2 linked regions of the Stegostoma tigrinum genome follow. The protein of the gene in region 2 interacts with the protein of the main gene of each other region in a biochemical or structural test. Links are inferred from orthologs where the notes say so. Each region holds a gene or a part of one and is shown on either strand. Other genes may lie near its edges.

What was found. The genes of interacting proteins can lie anywhere in the genome.
Region 1: the proteins of sodium/hydrogen exchanger 1 (region 2) and tesca form a complex in vitro, tested with the Homo sapiens proteins (4 studies listed by BioGRID and IntAct, with this or other methods). The link is inferred for Stegostoma tigrinum from reciprocal best matches to the Homo sapiens genes SLC9A1 and TESC.

Annotation. Positions count from the first base shown.
Region 1 is NC_081379.1:30,269,064-30,275,955, forward strand, and holds the start of tesca (tescalcin a), read right to left. Parts: upstream 3,012-6,892; 5' UTR 2,723-3,011; coding exon 2,662-2,722; intron 960-2,661; exon of another isoform or gene 956-959; coding exon of another isoform or gene 928-955; intron 846-927; coding exon 776-845; coding exon of another isoform or gene 754-775; intron 684-753; coding exon 603-683; intron 173-602; coding exon 33-172; intron 1-32. UniProt on the Homo sapiens protein: Functions as an integral cofactor in cell pH regulation by controlling plasma membrane-type Na(+)/H(+) exchange activity. Promotes the maturation, transport, cell surface stability and exchange activity of SLC9A1/NHE1 at the plasma membrane.
Region 2 is NC_081377.1:33,124,103-33,131,208, forward strand, and holds the start of sodium/hydrogen exchanger 1, read right to left. Parts: upstream 3,018-7,106; 5' UTR 2,986-3,017; coding exon 2,715-2,985; intron 1-2,714. UniProt on the Homo sapiens protein: Electroneutral Na(+) /H(+) antiporter that extrudes Na(+) in exchange for external protons driven by the inward sodium ion chemical gradient, protecting cells from acidification that occurs from metabolism.

The DNA of each region.
Region 1 (6,892 bases), on a different chromosome or scaffold from region 2:
GTGTACAAATAAGTGCCATATCAGTGCCTTACATTGCAGTTTTTCATTTTTGTAGTATTCTAAGTCCTCTTTTGTGTGATTGTCATCCATATGTTGGAAAAACGATAAAGTAGTCAGGAAGTTTTCAAACGTGATTTCATCAACCGTTCCACTCGTTTGTTGTCCCAAGTTTCTAGGGAAAAACACATGGATGTTAGGAGATTGCTTTACACTTTCTCACTCTCAGCACCTATTTCCACATCAAGCACAGCCTAGATTTCCCCCTTCTATCAATATACTTCAGTTCCAACCTTGAAAAATACTTTCTGGCTTATGCTGTACTATAGCTACTTTGTAATCAGCCATTCGAGCAGTCTCTCTGAGATTTCAAGTTTTATACTCTTCTTCCACACTTGTTCAGAAGCAGCTAAAATTGCTCAAATGTATCTCATGGGGAGTGGAGAATTCCATTCCAACAGCATGAACTGGTTTTGTGATCAAACTGCATGATTGTAAGCAAAGTAGGTTCACTCAGTATAAGCAAGATTTTTTAAAAAATCATATGATCAATAATATGATGGTTCTAAGTAGATCAATTTAGAAAGGCTGAATTGAAGACTTACCTCCTATCAAAAAATGCATTGACAATTCTTGCCTTAATGGGATTACAGTCCAGATCTGGTATGTTATCAAAACAATCTTTGCTGCAAAATAAAGTAGGTAAGTATTTTATACAGACATGGGGAAAATTGCTCTAAATGTTGTTAAACATACATAGTAACTAGAATACTAATACCACATTGTAGCCTTCCCATCCGTTAGGTGCAAGAACCTTCTGTGCAAGATTTCAATTTGCTCTGAAGTAACTGAGAGGAAGGAAATTCAAAGTGTGAGATATTTACATAGAAAGAACATCCCCTCCTAAATTGTCCATATTATTTCATTTACCATGTGAAATTTTCTGTACAGGACTCATTGTGTCCACTGGGAGCACAGAAGCAGGCTCAGCTTCCATTAAAGTTAATGTATTATTTTTAAATAGGTTAATAATTCTGATATCTCTGAATTACATGAATGTGGCGGGCACTATCAAAAGTAAACAAGGTGACTCCCTGATTCCTGGAGCCTTTAAGAAAATACAGCTGACTAAGTTGGCTAACAAAAGCTGCTATCAGACTGCAACTTAATGTTAGTTACTCCCACACATTTCACTTTGAGTTCTGAAGGTAGGTGAAGGTAACAAATTATACATTCCAATGTTGTTCATTACAAGGAGGATTTTGAAAATGTTTATTTAAGTGGTGGTTGTTTGTTGGGACCCTGTGCTTTGGATTTAACTGAAAGGTGAGATTAGATACTGTAGAGAACATTGATGTTCTATCTTTTTGAATAAATGATCTAACCTAAAAGAGACGAGATACTATACTTTGGCATTTTTCTTAGAAAATGTAATCTCATTTACTCCCTTAAAAATTGCATGTGCAAACATGAGTCAGCAAAAGTAAAACTCCTGTTTCACAAGCTGCTTATTTATGGAGTGTGAAAGCAGGAGGAACTTATACAGTAACTTTGTCATTTTGGTAAAACATGTAATATTGAGGGACAGAAAAAGAAACCTCACTAATCACTTCTGGGTTTCACTCACTTAAATGACACAATAACCTTGATGTAGGCACTGCTAGTGTTCTTGCTGCCCTTCGTAGCAGAGATACATGTTCTGCCTGACTTGTTCTGGGTTAGCTAAGGCTGTCTCAGAGGCTTACTTGGAGTGATTAGGCTTAGAACGAAGTCAACCAGCCCACTGAATCCATGCCCCATTGTGCAGGGCAGTCAAATCAGTCTATTACCTTGCTCTATTCCCTCTTGCCCTGCAAGTTTATTTCCCTCAAGCACTCTTGCAATGTCCTCTTGAAATTATTGACCTCTACGCTTGTTGAAACACGAAGAAACAGAACAGTAGAAGCATTACTGAAGGTAATGCTACGGGTAATGAATCAAGTGCAGCAAATACAGGGCTACGGTCCAGTTCGTGTGAACACATCCTCGTTACGATATAGAGATGGAGGGTGGAAGCAGCTCAGGATCAGGATCTTTACAGGCTGGGGTTTGATCTGCCTAGTGACTGAACCGTACAGTTCAGGAGGGATTCAGGGTCGATCCCTGGTTTGTCTGCTCAATCCCGGCTAGTCGCCCAGGCAGGGTCGCTGAGAGAGCGGACTCAGGTCCCCCTCAGCTCGGCAGGGGCAATCCTACTCTGTTTGTCACACTCGCACTGAGCGTGAAGACGTGAGCAGCAGGACAGGTCATTGTGAAGCACCCCACAGTCGGTTAGCCGCTCACTTGCGTGTGAGTAACGGCCAGATTTGAGTGACCAAACAGCCCCCTCAGAGTCCGGAGAAAAGGAGGCAGAAAGAATGGGGTGGGAGTAAAAACACTATGAAAAGACATTTGGCTACAACACATTCATTGACAGCTTTTGAGCTTCAGAAAGTGCGATGAAAATCTCGCAGTTTTTGAAAAAAATGTTTATAATGTCCTTTCCGTATGAGGAAATGCGTTTCCAACCAGCCTTTTGTTGCGTGATCTTCGCGAGCCTCCTGGATTATTCGACATTTTCACTTTTAAATTGAGTTCAGCTCTTAAACAACCCAAGTGTAAGCGAGCGCCTGGAACTGTACTCACAGCCGGTCGTGTTCGCAAGGTTGCGAATCTCCCAGGCAGGCAGTGAAGGAGTAGACCCCATCACCTCTTCTTCGCCTTCAGCAGGTCACACCTTTCAAAACTCACAAAGTTCTAGGGAGCAAACTGACCAGGACACAGGCGCTTTGCGTCTCCTGGAATCGGGTGAAGCTCTGATCGACAGACACAACCAATTGGTAGCTTCGGTTAGTGATGTTCTGTAGAATGTAACTGCAATCACTGGGGATAATGAAATGTCCTTTTCGACACTTCCCTGTCGTGCCAGCGAGGGATTCCTCTGGGTCCTACCGCTCAAGATATGTTTGAATGATCCCTCGCTTCTTCCTGTTTTGACTAAGTTTCAATATTGTATTTCATGACAAAGATTTCGCAATAAGGTACACGGAAGGGAAGAGATGATGTACTGTTTCTTTCTTTAAATAATTGTGTTTCAAGACAGAGATTTCTTTTTAATCTTTAAATTACCTATATAGAACATCTTCTTGCCTTATCGAGCCAAAGATAACATCACAAACTCCAATAGGTTGAGAGCAAGGAGAGAGGTGCAGCTGAAAGAGGCAACAAACGTCATCTGAAACCCATTGGCGCCAATCTGATCCAGACCAACCATCCAACTAACTGAGCTAACTGGTCCCCGTGAAGGAGTTTGATTTGCTGAGTGTCTTACACTTTTACATGCATTTGAACTATGGATAGTGATGTTGGAGGCTCCAATTTATTTCCATGGCATGGCTAACCAGGAATGTCTCCCACTCTTACAGTGGAAGGACTTACAGATCAATTCTCAGCTTGCTTGCTTTGGAACATAACTTCCTTGGTCATCAAGACCTGCACTGGAACTTTGAACGTGAACTTCTGGGTCAGTGGCAGAAACACTGCCCCCTGCACTAATGACCTACTCAGGGTCACACTATTAGAATGAGGAGTTTCACATTTAGGGTTGACTTGACAAGACGTTTATCACTCAAAAGGCTGTGAATCTTTGAAATTCACAAGGGTGCTATGGATGCTGAGCTTTTGAATTCCTGAAGGCAGACTTTGATGGACTTGTGGATACTAAGGGCTATAGGAATATTGTGGAAAGGTGGATTTGTATTAGAAAATTAGCCATCATCTTCTTGAACAATGACATAGGCTCAAATAACCAAAGCAGTGATAGTGTATTATTTGAAATAAATAATAGTGATAAATACCCTCAATATAAAAACAGAAATGCAATTTCTTGCATCAAATACATCTCAATAAGCCTGCAGCTTCATGTACAAATCACTCCTCCTTCAATTAACTTTTTCACCTGAAGTCTGAAACACCTTCCCAAAAGCCCACTGTGTTGTTACATTTCTCTCACTTTTCACAGACTTTCTCAAATGTACCTCTTCCCCTGTTTTCAGCCACAGTGTATAATCTTGTGCTGCTCAATGACTGCGCTTGACTGTAGTGAAATCTGTTGGGTGTAGTTTGTAACATCAAATACATTGTACCAGTGCAACTGATTGTTGTTACAGCTGCTTAGTTTGAAGGAGTAAGAGCTAGTACCTTTCGTTAATACAGAACAAAGCCTGATGCATCAGTACATATTTCCATATTTTGCACTTTGGGTTCATATGCAAAGTTCACAAGTAAATTAATACAATTCAAACATACAATTGTATCATGCATGGGAGTCAAATTACAATAGATGCTACAATCGCAATTTTCAATTTAGTAAAATGTTGCAGAGACTCAGAATCAATATGCAAAACAACGCAGGCATTCAACCTTGACCTTTTTGAATGCCATTTTAAGCAAAAATAAGGACATTTATTTACCTTAAGTCTATGAAATCAGATAGAATTCAGAAATGACCACAGGCAGTGATGATTTGTCCCTCTCCCTGTGTGTATTTACTCCCATGAATTCCTTTGCAGTGTTCTACATTTGCGAATGACCTTATACATGTGGAATGTATCATGCTGCAATATTTATAGTCAACTATAGTCAATATATAGTCAAGAACTTTTTAGTAAAAACTAAAGTTATTGCACCTTCAGCAAGAGTAAATGTACATTCAAAGGTTTCTGTTTAGAAAACAAATACATGACCAGGTGATGAGATAACAAAGTGTAGAGCTGGATGAACACAGCAGGCCAAGCAGCATCAGAAGAGCAGGAAAGCTGACTTGCTTTTCTGAAGAAGGATTTAGGCCCAAAACATCAGCTTTCCTGCTCTTCTGATGCTGCTTGGCCTGCTGTGCTCATCCAGCTCTACACCTTCTTATCTCAGATTCTCTAGCATCTGCAGTTCCTACTGTCTCATGATCAGATGATATTTCAGTTACAGGATGATACTCCATCTATTTAAAAGTTGGTCAATGTGCAACTTATCAAACAGAATTAATGTTTAGGATTACATCACTTGGCCCAGTCTCTTGCAGTTTTGTCAGCCATAAAAATTTAACATCATGTTCAACTAAAACCATGATGACTGTTGCATATGAATCTGAAAGAGTCGATTGATTGCATTAAGCACCAACAACTGCAATCACATCATGAGGACTTGCTGGGACAGTAGCTAATGATCATGAAGCATTCAGGCCTAAGACCAGGTCCTCCTAACACATCCTTGTAATAGGTAGTTGCAGAGATGCAATAAACTATTTTTGTTTTAATTCATTCACGGGATGAGGGTGTCGCTGGCTAGGCATTTATTGCCTGTACCAAATTGCCCAAAGGGCAGTTAAGAGTCATCCACTTTGCTGTGGATCTGGAGTCACATGTGGACCAGACCAGGCAAGGGCAGCAGATTTCCTTCCCCAAAGGACGTTAGTGAACCAGATGGGTATATATGTTGGATAATATGGGAATACTATATTGCATAAGGAACTCAACTAGCTGGACTAGAGAAAACTATGCTCATGAATGTTAGAGCACATGGGACCTTCAGGAACACATTCCTAAAAGGTATTGGTGGCAGTACATACAACATGGTGAGCATGGCGACAATCTGAGGATATGCTTTAGCTTCAATGTACAATATGGTGAGCAGCAGGGATCTTCTAAGTGGGACCCAGAGATTGATTTGTCTACTTTATAGCACAGTGAGCCACAATCATCAGTAATGAGCTGATGAACTCCAGAAAAGAAACTTTATATCAATATTTCAAAGAATGTTAAAAAGCCCATCAGACTTATTAAAAGACATCTTGGAACAGAAGAAATTTGCACCACCAAGGCAGAGGTATAGGCTGCGTCCCAGGGTGGTGGTCTGCACCAGTGGTTCTAAGTCAGAGTTTGATCAGTAAGTGAACTGACATCAGATTGTGTGAATCAAAACTAGAAATGCCTGGCACAAATGAAAGATCTTAAATAGCACAGTAACCTAGGCTGAACAGATGAGAATTTTTTAAAAACATTTTTTCAATAAGGCCATGAGGCATGGCTAGAAAAGAAAACAGAAATAACAGGGCCAAAACAGAAATGCATAATCTGGCATCAGAAAGTCAGGAACATCACAAAGCTAGTATTTTAAAGTATACAAGCATTGGGCAATAATAAATTGTGAACAGTTCCAGTCCAACAGAAACATCTTTCAGAAAATTCATGAAGGCCCTGAGAGAGGAAGAACCTATATTAAAGATGCAAAATCCTAAACAAAACAAAAAAAAATCCTTGAGGTTAATTGTGTTGGAATAAGAATTTGTTTCATCTTGTCAACAAGGTGAGAGCCTGTGACTATGCTGGTTTGACGGAAATGGTTTCCATTGCTATCAAAATTGTGAATATTTCAAACTCAAAGAACTTGCAAGGTTTGTGAGGATACGTAACAAAGATACAGGCAATGACCACAGCCAGTATACACCACTGAGTGTATTAATAAATCAGTAAATGAAATAATACCTCTACCCACATCATCGCAGATCTATAAGGAGATTGAGAACAAAATCTGCTGATGCTCATTGGAGGTGTGGTGCATACACTCCATGGAAGCCACCACTCAGAAGAGCTCAACAGTGCATGGCCAAGGATCCATGCTGCTGCAAAGAAAATATTGCTTGCTCTGATGACAGTGATGACATCTTCAACAAAAGAAATAAAGATTAAAGATCCTCCATTCAGAAGGAACTGCAGCCTTGGGCTATCCACTGTTTTCTACTCAGCAAATCTGTTTCCAATTTCAACGAGAACAGTTTCAAGGAAACTAGTAAAACTTATGATTGTCTGAATTTGTAAAGTTA
Region 2 (7,106 bases):
CCTAGATCCTAATTTCTGAAGAAGGGTCCAGGCCCAAAACATCAGCTTTCCTGCTCCTCTGATGCTGCTTGGCCTGCTGTGTCCATCCAGCTCTACATTTGTTATTTCAGATTCTCTAGTATCTGCAGTTCCTACTATCTCATTCAACATATAGAGATTGCTGAAGTGCTCTCAGTGTTGCACTAGACAGCGTGACCGTCCCATAAGCCATTGCTGCACAGCAATGTTCATCCAAACCACTGCCAGATGATCTTTCGGTCAAAGATATGTTACATACAAACTGTTCCATGAAGACATGTGGTACAGCAGAGTCAAATTGGATGGAACAATCTTCGGCAACATAGCCAGACGCATCCTTCACAACCTTCACTGGCACAGACAGAATTTCAATAGTATTTGGTGTTTGTGTTCCGATGGCCTACGAACAGATAAGTGTATCAACACATAAAGGTGACCATCAGGAAGAAGTGGCATTGAGTAAGTTTATCCTCCTTGAGAGATTTGCATAAAATGTCCATGTGAACATTGTGCATTCTCATTCTCTAGATAAATATGATGATAGATCTGACTATGTTGCCACAGAATGCTTCATTCAGTTGGACCATGCTGTGTGCTACCTGTCAATCATGTAAATTTTAAGCAATATAACATCTCTGGTCACAGATCCACCCATGTATTGGTGTACACATAACATCTTTGAAGAACTAGTTGAAAGTGCAAAGTGATTCATTTTGGAAAGTTGAATCTGTATGCAGAATACAGGGTTAATGACAGGATTCTTGGCAGTGTGGAGGAACAGAGGGATCTTGGGGTCCACGACCATAGATCCCTCAAAGTTGGTACCCAAGATGACAGGGTTGTTAAGAAAGCATATGGGTGTGTTGGCTTTCATTAGCAGGGGAGTTGAGTTTGACAGCCATGAGGTTATGCTTCAATGGTTGTTCTATGAAAGCCCGGTTAGACTACAGTTGGGATTTTGTTTTCAGTTCTGGTTCCCTCATTATAGGAAGGATGTGGAAGCTTTAGAGAGGGTGCAGAGGAGATTTATCAGGATGCTACCTAGACTGGAGGGCAGGTCTTATAAGAAAAGGTTGAGAGAGCTAGGACTTTTCTCACTGGAGCGAAAGAAGAATGAGAAGTGACTTGATAGAGGAGTACAGGATGATGACAGGCATTGATAGAGCGAATAGCCAGAGACTTTTTCCCAGGGCGGAAATGACTATTACAAGGGAGCATAGTTTTAAGGTGATTGGAGGAAGGTTGTGATGCGAGGGAATCATCCTATCAATTTCTTCATACACAAAATGTCTCTGCCACTGTATCCTGGCCTCAGGGCATCTGCAGTAGGAGGAAACCAGTGCTCATGTGCTTCTGAAATATGCCTTTGTAAAGAACGTTTAGTTTTTGTCAAGCAGCTCTGCAACACATGCTATACATTCCAGAAGGATGTCTGGCATAAAACAGGAATTATAACTTAGAATTCTAACTATAGTTTGGCTTCTTAAATACACTATAGAAGAATGTCAACTCTATTGCACTTCATTCAATGACAAATTTGAATTACTCCATGATAAAATGTGCAAACTTTATACATTTTTTTGTGAAACTGCAAAATAAAACTGTTGTTAAATGAAAGAAATCTAAGGAGCAATTCCTAATTCTGGATAGTTTAATAAGATTGTTAGAACAAGGTGCAGCCAACTCAAAACACAGGACACTAAGCTGGTTTCCACTCATTAATCCTGCTCACTGAAGATAAATGCCACATCCACATATGCAGAAATACACTACATGCTGAGGGGAGCAGGCACATGGGACGAATGCACCCAAAGGAGTTCTGCCAGTGTAAATGCTGCCAATATCTGTAATCTCCAATTCTTTCAGTCATTTCTCTAATCCAACCTCAGGCCTCTACAGCAGTACTGGCCAAACGACTGGCAGTGTTCTTGGTGGGCCATCCTCCTAAATCTGCTGTCATACTTTCCACCACTTCTGTGAGGAAGTTATGCACTTCTTTGAGGCTGGATGGATGTGACCAGATATTCTATTGCTCCCTATTTTCACAACAGCAACATTCCAAAATTGAATATTCACATTCAAAGAGATGGCTAGGGGTGATCTTCTGGAATTTAACACTGTGTCCAGAAATAACACACAAGCCATTGATGATGTGGGTGAAGTTTAATGAGAATCCCTAATAGTAGAGATTCACGTACAAGCATATAAGAATAGTAGACCATATGGCATAATGATCGTTTTCCACAATTCAAATCAACACTTGCTAATCTTGGGTTTCAAAGTCCACTTTCTCACCTGCTCCCCATATCTTTCGACTTCCTCAAAACCAAAAAAAGGTTTATGCTGGATGCAAATGTATTCAAAATGAAGGCTCTTCAACATACCGGGTCACAGACTTCCAAATGCTGACCCTACCGTTTGAATGAAGTGATTTATCTTCACCTTACTCTATAAATGATCAGTTTCTGGTCCTGAGACTGTACCTTTGAGGGGAAGGGGACAAAATGTGCAGATCCAAGGAATGGGCCAGAGCCGGCACTCAGATGACGGGCCGAATGGACACCGACGCTGTAAAATTCTGGGTTTCGGGGGCGGGGGGAAAGACAGGTCGTGGTAGTAAAAGAGAGAGAGAGAGAGAGAAAAAGGATCGACCTGCGTCCGTATGTCGCCAGGACATACCTGTCCCAGTCACCCACCTAGTTTCAGGACGGAGGCCAACAGGATCCACAGCGCCACAACGAACGGGGACCTGACATGACCGAAGTCGACGGTCACCACCGGGAAGGCCTTGCTGCTCTTGTTACTGTGATGAGTTCTCGAGCTTTCGGACTCATTCGCCTCAGTTTCCGGGGCCGAAGCCGGTGTTCCTGAACACAGGTTCAACAGAACCAAGGAGACGAGCAGCAGCCACACAAGGGAAAGCCGGGTACACATCTGCACCCAGATGGGAGCCGCCATAAGCAGCATCCCAACTGTGACTAACGCTAGGGAGCAGAACCGACAACTGAATCCAGCAGCAGTCCGCCAACTGCCAGCTGCAGCGCCACCTACAGCCCCGGAGGACTGAACAATCCGACCACAGCGAAGGAACCAGCGAGCACTTTGTTGTCGGGTTGGAGCAATCCTTCCCAATTTTTTGTTTCCCTCCGCCCCCCCCAACTATAACCATATTTCAGTGCTTGAAAACTGTTGCGGCGACTCAGTGAAAGCAATGGCTGTTCTAACTCAGTCATGGAGCCGTTAACAGATTTTGCCTCAGATTTTGTGACCCAGCCCGATCTCACCTACTAAAATTCAAACAGAAGCCCTGCAAGTTACAGCACTTGAGGTCTATATCCATAAACTTTCAAAATCCGTTGAACATTCTTGCCTCGATGACCCTTTCAGGCATTAAAAAATGCATACCGGATTCTGCCCCAAAACGTTTTCCCTCATCTCTCCCATAATGTTGCTGCAAATCACTTAAACCTACGCCCCCTAGTCACTGACCTCCCTGCTAAGGTAAACAGGCAATTTATGTCTCCTCTACCACGGTCCATCACAATTTTATACATTTCAGTCAAATCTCTGATCAGCCCCTCTGTTCCAAGGAGAAAAGCCCCAGGCTATTCAATCTTTCCAGGTAACATCCACTTACAGACCCAGAGATAATGGGAACTGCAGATGCTGGAGAATCCAAGAAAACAAAGTGTGGAGCTGGATGAACACAGCAGGCCCAGCAGCATCTCAGGAGCACAAAAGCTGACGTTTTGGGCCTAGACCCTTCATCAGAGGTCTAGGCCCAAAACGTCAGCTTTTGTGCTCCTGAGATGCTGCTTGGCCTGCTGTGTTCATCCAGCCTCACATTTCATTATCTTGGATTCTCCAGCATCTGCAGTTCCCATTGTCACTATCACCACACATCCACAATCAGTATCCTGTTCCTGCCTTATCCCCATAACCCTTGATTCCACTATCTTTAAGAGCTCTATCCATCTCTTTCTCGAAATTATCCAGAGAGTTGACCTCCACTGCCTTCTGGGGCAGAGCATTCCATATATCCACCACTCTCTGGGTGAAGAGGTTTTTCCTCAACTCTGTTCTAAATGGCCTACCCCTTATTTTTAAACTGTGTCCTCTGGTTCTGGACTCACCCATCAGCGGAAGCATGCTTCCTGCCTCCAGAGTGTCCAATCCCTTAATAATCTTATACGTCTCAATCAGATCCCCGCTCATCCTTCTAAACTCAAGTGTATACAAGCCCAGTCGCTCCAATCTTTCAACATATGATAGTCCCGCCATTCCGGGAATTGACCTCGTGAACCTACGCTGCACTCCCTCAATAGCAAGAATGTCCTTCCTCAAATTTGGAGACCAAAACTGCACACAATACTCCAGGTGCAGTCTCACCAGGACCCTGTACAGCTGCAGAAGGACCTCTTTGCTCCTATACTCAATTCCTCTTGTCATGAAGGCCAGCATGCTATTAGCTTTCTTCACTACCTGCTGTACCTGCATGCTTGCTTTCATTGACTGATGTACAAGAACACCTCGATCTCGTTGTACTTCCCCTTTACCTAACTTGACTCCATTGAGATAGTAATCTGCCTTCCTGTTCTTGCCACCAAAGTGGATAACCACACATTTATCCACATTAAACTGCATCTGCCAGGCATCCGTCCACTCATCTCGCCTGTCCAAGTCACCCTGTATTCTCATAACATCCTCCTCACATTTCACACTGCCACCCAACTTTGTGTCATCAGCAAATTTGCTAATATTACTTTTAATGCCTTCGTCTGTATCATTAGTGTATATTGTAAACAGCTGAGGTCCCAGCACCGAACCTTGTAGTACCCCACTGGTCATCGCCTGCCATTCCAAAAGGGACCCGTTTATCATTACTCTTTGCTTCCTGTCAGCCAGCCAATTTTCAATCCAACTCAGTATTTTGCCCCCAATACCATGTGCCCTAATTTTGCTCACCAATCTCCTATGCGGGACTTTATCAAAGGCTTTCTGAAAGTCCAGGTACACTACATCCACTGGTTCTCCCTTGTCCACCTTCATAGATACATCCTCAAAAAATTCCAGAAGATTAGTCAAGCACGATTTCCCCTTCGTAAATCCATGCTGACTCTGACCTATCCAGTTACTGCTATCCAAATGAGTCATAATTTCATCTTTTATAATTGACTCCAGCATCTTTCCCACCACTGACGTCAGGCTAACTGGTCTACAATTTCCTGTTTTCTCTCTCCCTCCTTTCTTGAAAAGTGGGACAACATTAGCCACCCTTCAATCTGCAGGAACTGACTCTGAATCTATAGATCATTGGAAAATGATTACCAATGCGTCCACGATTTCTAGAGCCACCTCCTTAAGTACCCTGGGATGCAGACCATCAGGTCCTGGGGACTTATCAGCCTTCAGACCTAACAGTCTATCCAACACCATTTCCTGCCGAATATAAATTCCCTTCAGTTCGTCCATTACCCTCGGTCCTTCAGCCACTATTGCATCTGGGAAATTGCTTGTGTCTTCCCTAGTGAAGACAGATCCAAAGCACCTATTCAACTCTTCTGCCATTTCCTTGTTCCCCATAATAAATTCACCCGTCTGTCTTCCAGGGCCCAATTTTAGTCTTAACCTTTTTTTTTCTTTTCACATACCTAAAAAAACTTTTACTATCCTCCTTTATATTTTCAGCCAGTTTTCCTTCATAGCTCATTTTTTCTCTGTGTATTGCCTTTTTAGTTATCCGCTGTTGCTCTTTAAAAGCTTCCCAGTCCTCCGGCTTCCCACTCATCTTTGCTATGTTATACTTCTTCTCTTTTATCTTTATACAGTCCTTAACTTCCCTCATCAGCCACGGCTGCCCCTGCCTCCCCTTAGGATCTTTCTTCCTCTTTGGTATGAACTGATCCTGTACCTTCTGCATTATATCCAGAAATACCTGCCATTGTTGTTCCACTGCCATCCCTGCCAGGGTATTGTATCATTGAACTTTGGCCAGATCCTCCCTCATAGCTCCATAGTTCCCTTTATTCAACTGCAATACTGACACTTCCGATTCTCCCTTCTCCCTCTCAAACTGCAGATTAAAACTTATCATATTATGGTCACTACCTCCTAATGGCTCCTTTACTTTGAGGTCCCTGATCAAATCCGGTTCGTTACACAACACCAGATCCAGAATTGCCTCCTCCCTGGTAGGCTCCAGTACAAGCTGTTCTAAAAATCCATCTCGGAGGCACTCTACAAACTCCCTTTCTTGGGGGTCCAGTACCATCCTGATTCTCCCAGTCTACCCACATGTTGAAATCTCCCATAATAACTGTAGTGATACCTTTGTGACAGGCCAATTTCAGCTCCTGATTCAACTTGCACCCTACATCCTGACTACTGTTTAGGGGCCTGTAGATAACTCCCCTTACGGTCTTTCAACCCTGAGAATTTCTCAGCTCTATCCATACTGACTCTACATCTCCTGACTCTATGTACCCCCTTGCAAGGGACTGAATATTATTCCTCACCAACAGGGCCACCTTGACACTGAGCCAATTTAGTTACATTCCCTTGGACTTCAAGCGTTTTATTAAAAAACAGTCTGCCACGTACTATCTTGTTGAAAGCCTTACTAAAATCAACTGCACTACCCTGATCAATTCTACATATCACACTCTCAAAACATTCAGTAAAGTAAATCAAACACAATCTTCCCTTAACAAATATATGCTGATCATCCTTCATCAATCCACACTTTTCAAAGTCGCAGCTTACCATAGAATCCCTAGTGTTGAAGCAGGCCATTCAACCCATCAAGTCCACACCAACCCTCCAAAGAACATGCCAACCAGACCCAACCCCTTACCCTATCCCTGTAGCTCTACATTTCCCATGGCTAATCCATGGATATTATGGCCAATTTAACATGGCCAATCCACCCAACCTGTACATATTTGGACTGTGGAGGGAAACCAGAGCACCCGGAGGAAACTCATACAGACACGCGAAGAATGTGTAAACTCCACAGAGACAGTTGCCTGAGGGTAGAATCAAACCTGGCACTGTCAGGCAGCAGTGCTAACCACTGAGCCATCGTGCCA